Linked DNA regions of Xenopus tropicalis. The protein of the gene in region 1 interacts with the protein of each later gene in a biochemical or structural test. Links are inferred from orthologs where the notes say so. Each region holds a gene or a part of one and is shown on either strand. Other genes may lie near its edges.

Region 1 (4,181 bases):
CTGGCCATCATGCTGAACTACAAATCCCATCACCGTCAGGCAGCCTGTAAGCGCTGGATTTATTTGTTAGGAGTGCATACTTGCTGCCAATTCTCTGGAATGTGCCTTGCTTTTAACTATACCTAGTGCATCTAGGAACTGTCTTGCAGGGCCACTCCGTAGGGTTAAAAGCCAGTCACATTCCAGACTGCTGGCAACTCTATTAATGTGGCCATACACACACCAGTCATAACATACGATATCCGGTGCGTGCATGGAGAGACACAACCAATATCAGCAAAGGTCTTGGATATCGGTCATCTCATCGATCGAGAGGGATGGGGCATTTAGAGGCGCCTGAGCAAAGGCTAGCCCTTAGCCCTGAATCCTCACATAGGGGTAGAATTCCTTTGTTTCTACCTGCATACCTGGCGATTAGTTCTGAACGTTAAGCTGGCCATACACGCACCGATAATATCGTACGAAACCTCGTTTTGTACGATATTCGGTGCGTGTATGGTATGTTGGCGAAGCAGGAAGCTGCTGATATCGGACAACTCGCCGATCGGACCAGTTTAAAAATTTTGATTGGGCGCCATAGAAGGCGCCTGACCAAAATCTCCCTTCAGAGCTGAATCGGCAGAAGGAGGTAGAAATCCTATTGTTTCTAACTCCTTACCTGCTGATTCAGCTCTGAATGGTGTGTGGCGGATCTGACGATGTTTCGTGCGACCGATGGTCGCACGAAACATCGTCAGGTCGCCACGTGTATGGCCAGCTTAAGTGGAGGGTACAGACGATCTTTCCTGTGACCAATCGTCGCAGGAAAGATCATAATTGTAACATGTATGGCCACCATTACTGTTTTTCTCCCCCCGGAGAGACAGCACCACAGGGGGAGGGAGAATACAAGGGCTCAGAATAGGACACAGCCGACTCCTTCTGTTTGTCACTTCTGCCCCAGCTCCTTTCACAGTACATCTTACAGTAAATTAAATAAAAACAATAATAATAGTGACTCAGTGGGCCCTGGGCAGATGCTCCTTTTGCCCATTTAGTAAAGCAGCCCTAATTGAAGGTGAAATCCCCCTTGTTTCCTGGTTTTGCTTTCTCTTTCTTTGCTTCCCTATTTACTTATAGAGCAGGATTCGGTTTCTTTAACACCAGGACTGGATTTCTAGTTTAAGGGCCAATCCCTGGCTATGGGAACCCGGAACCAAAACAACAGCGCTTTACCTTTAAGCCTAGCCACGCCCCCTCCGGTGACATCATACCAGGAAATGGATGTTGAGAGCTGAGAAGCAACACAGGGGCACTGAGGCTGGCAAGTAGGGGGTTTGCTCTAGTAGTCACACACTCAGCTGTGCCCAGGGGCACTAGTCATGCTGCGGGACTGCCTCTCACTGTAGCCCCAAGCTGCCCCCAGGCTCTGTACCTCATACCCCAGTACTGGGAAGCACCAAGCAGCCGGCCAGGCAGGGCGCCCAGCTCTTCCTCTCACTCACACACTCACACACTGACAGACAGACACGCCCCCGGCTCTGCATATGACACACCAGGTAAGGGACACATACATTGCTTCAGTTTGCAGCATTCATCTAAATTAATTGTGTGGCTGGTATTAAAGGGGGGAGGTAGCAACCATATTGGTTGGTGAGTCTTGGGCCAGGCTGCCCATTGGTAAATGTTGGGTCAGGCTGTCCTCTGGGGTGTCTTGGGTCAGTCTGCCCGCGGGCGAGTGTTGTGTCAGTCTGCCTATGGGCGAGTGTTGTGTCAGTCTGCCTATGGGCGAGTGTTGTGTCAGTCTGCCTATGGGCGAGTGTTGTGCCAGGCTGCCCGTGGGCGAGTGTTGTGCCAGGCTGCCCGTGGGCGAGTGTTGTGTCAGTCTGCCTATGGGCGAGTGTTGTGTCAGTCTGCCTATGGGTGAGTGTTGTGTCAGTCTGCCTATGGGCGAGTGTTGTGTCAGTCTGCCTATGGGTGAGTGTTGTGCCAGGCTGCCCGTGGGCGAGTGTTGTGTCAGTCTGCCTATGGGCGAGTGTTGTGCCAGGCTGCCCGTGGGCGAGTGTTGTGTCAGTCTGCCTATGGGCGAGTGTTGTGTCAGTCTGCCTATGGGCGAGTGTTGTGTCAGTCTGCCTATGGGCGAGTGTTGTGTCAGTCTGCCTATGGGCGAGTGTTGTGTCAGTCTGCCTATGGGCGAGTGTTGTGTCAGTCTGCCTATGGGCGAGTGTTGTGTCAGTCTGCCTATGGGCGAGTGTTGTGCCAGGCTGCCCGTGGGCGAGTGTTGTGTCAGGCTGCCCACGGGCGAGTTTTGTGTCCGACTGCCTATGGGTGAGTGACGTGTCAGGCTGCCCGCGGGTGAATGTCTTGTCCAGCTGCCAATGGGTGAGTCACATGCCAGGCTGTCTATGGGTGAGTGACGTACCAGGCTGCCCATGGGAGAGTTTCGTGTCAGGCGTTCCCCGCGGGTGAGTGATGTGCCAGGCTTCTGGTGGGCGAGTGTCGTGCCAGGCTGCCTGCGGGCAAGTGTCAAGTCAGGCTGTCCGCGGGTGAGTGTCGTGTCCGGCTGCCTATGGGTGAGTGTCGTGTCAGGCTGTCCGCGGCTGAGTGTCGTGTCAGGCTGTCCGCGGCTGAGTGTCGTGTCAGGCTGTCCGCGGCTGAGTGTCGTGTCAGGCTGTCCGCGGCTGAGTGTCGTGTCTGGCTGCCCGCGGGCGAGTGTCGTGTCAGGCTGCCCGCGGGCGAGTGTCGTGTCCGGCTGCCTATGGGTGAGTGTCGTGCCAGGCTGCCTGCGGGTGAGTGTCAAGTCAGGCTGTTCGCGGGCGAGTGTCAAGTCAGGCTGTTCGCGGGCGAGTGTCGTGCCAGGCTGCCTGCGGGCGAGTGTCGTGCCAGGCTGCCCGCGGGCGAGTGTCGTGTCAGGCTGCCCGCGGGCGATTGTCGTGTCAGGCTGCCCGCGGGCGATTGTCGAGCCAGTCTGCCCGCGGGCGAGTGTCGTGTCAGACTGCCTATGGGCGAGTGACATGCCAGGCTGCCCGTTGGCGAATGTCTGGCCATTGGTAACCATGTAGTCTATATATTAGGCCTGTGACCATGTAGTCAATATATCAGATAATCTAGTATTAAAATGAGGATTTCTGCTGGGTCAGCTTGCTCCCTTCAGTCCTGCTCTTATCTATAGTCATTTGTCTTATGTTGCTTATTCCCAGGATGCCTCCCCTGGCAGGGCCGGCTGGGCACCGCCACCCTCACACACGCAGATATGTGGCCCCTGGGAGATGAAGGAACGCTTGGGAACTGGGGGATTTGGTTATGTCTTGCGCTGGATTCACCAGGTAAGGGAATATGTGTCTAACTAGTCCGTTGTGTGGTCTCTCACTAATGTCGCTGCGGCACAGGCTGCTCCGCTGCCACATGGTTATGCCCATGACCCCCCATCAAGCTCATGTCAATGCATGTAGTGTCTACGATTGATGGAAATCCTGAGCCTCTCCATCTCCAACCGCCAGTTGTATTTCAGTAACATCTGGTTTGTGCCCTGTATAGTTAAAAATCCATATGCCTCACTGGATTCTACTGCCAATCTGTGGCAATATATTTGTGCTCTGTGGTTCCATCACCCCCTTTTCTTTCAGGATTAGGTTTCCCCATGGCACCATGTATCAATCATATTTTTTTGGAGAAACAGGGTATGAAACCCAGAGAGGTGATAGCAATCCCTGATAATCTCAAACTTTTTCCATTTTATAAAAAAAAATAGGAATATTGCTGGATATAAATAAACTGAAAAATGTAGATCCAGGAAAAGGTAGTGAAGAGTTAATAACCTCTCTCTGCTAAAATCTGTTATCTTCTGTCTTCCCCTTGGGTGCTTGCTGCAACTCCTTCTCTTCTCCATTTTCCTCTGCAAATTTTTATCCATTTGCCTTTTCTGCAATTGCATTCTCTCCTCCCATTCCTCATTCTGCTAACCGCCATATCTTTGTGTGCTTTGCTTGGACCAGTTGCAGCTGCACATCCCCTTTTCATGCTGCCAGGCACTGGGCATTGTGCGTCTGTAATATTGTATATTTATTTGTTCCTTAATATGCTTAATGTGTTATGTGGCACTGGGCTATAATTTCTTCCTTAGTGTCTCGATCTCTGTGCTCCATGTTCCTATCCATATGTCTCCATGCTAATTTCCCTCCTTACTGTGTGTCTCCCCCCTC
Region 2 (2,885 bases), on another chromosome or scaffold:
GTGCGGGGGGACACCTGTGACACAAAGCTGGACGTGTGGAGCTCCTGCTGTATGATGCTACATATGCTTAACGGCTGGCACCCATGGAGCCGAACTCACACACCGCCTCTGTGCCTGAAAGTGAGTATGAAGTGCTGTCAGATGCCAACCTTCCTATCTGCAGCTCTTGTTGCACTGTAATCTCTAGCATTTCTCACTAGCCCTTAACAAATGACTTAGTTCCCATGCACTTAAGATTTTGGAGCTTTCTTAAAGCAAAGACCAAAAAGGATGGGTTATGGACAAAAGTTCTTAGTACAAGTTGATCCAGGGACTGGTCTGATTGCCATCTTGGAGTCAGGAAGGAATTTCAACCCCCTGCAGCAAATTAAAGAAGCTTCAGATGGGTTTTTTGCCTTCCTCTGGATCAACTAGCATTTGGGAAGGTTATATATAGGCATTATAGTTGAACTTGATGGACGTGTGTCTTTTTTTCAACCTAACTTACTATGTTACTATGAAATGGCCCACATATGGACAGTGGCATGGTAGCTCTATCTCCACAAGATTAATTAAATAAGGCCATATCTTTTTAGACTGCTTTGGTTAAGCACCATGACCCTATATACTAAAACTCTCAGCATACTTCAGCTGGCTGCATTGTATTCAATGTGCTTCTGCAACTCCTGCACCCCATGCTTAGTATTTATTTATTTGTTTTGCCCTTACTTCAGTTTCCTGCACTGCGCCACTAACATCAAATTGTCAAATTGTGAGAATTTGTGTTATTATTACACAAGGAACACTCATTATACCCAGGGGCACAAGTGCAAAAGCAAAAGGGATGCAAGAGTGCCCTTCTTAATGCTCACTTACAGAGCACCCAGATTTGCCGCTATCCACACTGAACGCCGGATCAAACATCTGGTGCTTGATAGAAACAACTGTTCAGCCCAGCCCTGTCTTTACCACTTGCCTACCATTTTTAAGGCACATTTTTGCGTGTAATAGACTCTGTGGGGAGGGTGGTAAAGGAAAGGAGGGGCAATGGAGGCCATTTGAGAGGTGCTGGGATTTGCAGGGGGTCAAGTCCTCCTTCAGTGATGATAATGTGGTTAGATGATGATTTCTCTTTGAGTTCAGATAAACATCTTTTTCTCCTCTACCATCTGTATAGATTGCCACTGAGCCACCCCCCGTGCAGGAGATACCCCCCACCTGTGATCCTCGAACACGTGAGGTCATTGTAGCGGGTCTGGAAAAAGATCCAACCAGTAGAGTGACGGCAGCAAAGTTACAGGAGAAAGTGAATTTGGCTTTGCATAAAAGTAAGAATACCTAATAAGATATGTATATTTTTATTTATAGGAAAGCTGCAAATTGTGGTAAGGTTTAGATATCTCAAGTTTCATTTAAATCATCATTTAAATTGTCATTATTCAATATGAATTTGCAATTATATTTCTGTTGGAGGTTTCCCCTAGCCCCTGTATATAAGTTAAACTGTCAACATTTATTACTGAATTGTCATTTGGCTTAAAACTGATATTAAGGTGCATGGGATACACAGTGAGAATCATGATTGGTTGACATAAAGAAGAGCTATGGGATATAATCATATTCCTCCCCCTGGACAAAAGCATGTGGCTGTTTTATTATAAGTAAACTACAGTTCCACAGGAACCATCAGTAATATTCTGTCATTGACATTTCTTTGTATTTTGTCTTCTAGTCGGTGGTCTGAAATCTCCATGGAAATCTGAATACAAAATGCTCAGGAGCTTTCCAGATACCACATCACCCCCCAGCCTTGCTGTAGCATCTGAAACCCCTCTTTCCAAACATGAACCTGCCATGCCTGATACCAAGCCTAATCCTAACAAAACTAAGCCAGAACCTAGCAAGGAGAAGATGGTCAGTGGCCTGACTGACAACAGGGCAGTGCAGCCAAACATCTTGTGTGGGAAGGAAATTCAGCAGAAGGAAAGAGGTGAGCCACCAGAGGAGCGTTTGTCACCATAACATGTACCCACTAAAAGTCTCTCCAATCACAGTAAGAGGATCTGGAACCCCAAAAAACATTATACAATGAGAGGCAGTTTAATATATGTTGTTATTCCCACAGCTCTGCCACATTGGGGTGCCAGCACCCATGGCCTCTCATTGTATTTAATATTGTATATAATATTCTTTGGTCTGCCAATGCCAACTACTTCTTAATCAGTTTAATGAACTTGGGGAGCTAGTACCCACTGCTTTATATTCCACTCCTCTGACTGCATACAATGTACTTTTGTGCTGCAAGAATCCCCCACCTCACACTCTGTATAATGCCTCTTATTGTATATACTATACTTTAAGTACCAGAACCTACTGCCCTTCACTCTATATTATTTGCTGAGCTAATAAAACCCTGGAAGTAACACTATGTCAAGGTGGGCATTATTTCCAGGGTTCTCTTGCATCTGCATTTTCATGCAATTCATTAATGGAGGCTGAATGGGCACAATGGCACTATGTGCAAGTTTTAAAAAGTACCTTTCTGAATAGGATCCCAGTGTGCATAATTTTACACTAGTCTAAGTACTTGCACTTGTGATTATAAATGAGCCCTCTGTTTTGCATCTTCTGTAGAATATCTTCTCACTGATCTGTTCCTGGCAAGTTCCCTGGAAGAACAGGAGCAAATGTTGTCCTGTCTGAGTGAGGACAACCGGGATCAGCATCGCAGTCACAAGGTGAGACAGAAGATTTTCTGATGAAGAAACTTCTATATTACATCCTTTCCACCACTACATCTACTTCTTTCCTGCATCCCATCTTCTATTTTTTCTGGCATTCCCTCCTTTCTTGTATCCCTGCCACCCTAACCTCAGCTTTTTATCATCCTCAACCCACATCCCACT

Evidence for each region.
Region 2: of the proteins of ikbkb (region 1) and map3k14, one has a biochemical effect on the other in vitro, tested with the Homo sapiens proteins (3 studies listed by BioGRID and IntAct, with this or other methods). The link is inferred for Xenopus tropicalis from reciprocal best matches to the Homo sapiens genes IKBKB and MAP3K14.

What each region holds. Positions count from the first base shown.
Region 1 is NC_030679.2:130,593,652-130,597,832, forward strand, and holds the start of ikbkb (inhibitor of nuclear factor kappa-B kinase subunit beta), read left to right. Parts: upstream 1-1,261; 5' UTR 1,262-1,526; coding exon of another isoform or gene 1,527-1,538; intron 1,539-3,179; coding exon of another isoform or gene 3,180-3,248; coding exon 3,249-3,305; intron 3,306-4,181.
Region 2 is NC_030686.2:17,598,882-17,601,766, reverse strand, and holds part of map3k14 (mitogen-activated protein kinase kinase kinase 14), read left to right. Parts: coding exon 1-120; intron 121-1,156; coding exon 1,157-1,307; intron 1,308-1,711; coding exon 1,712-1,969; intron 1,970-2,613; coding exon 2,614-2,717; intron 2,718-2,885.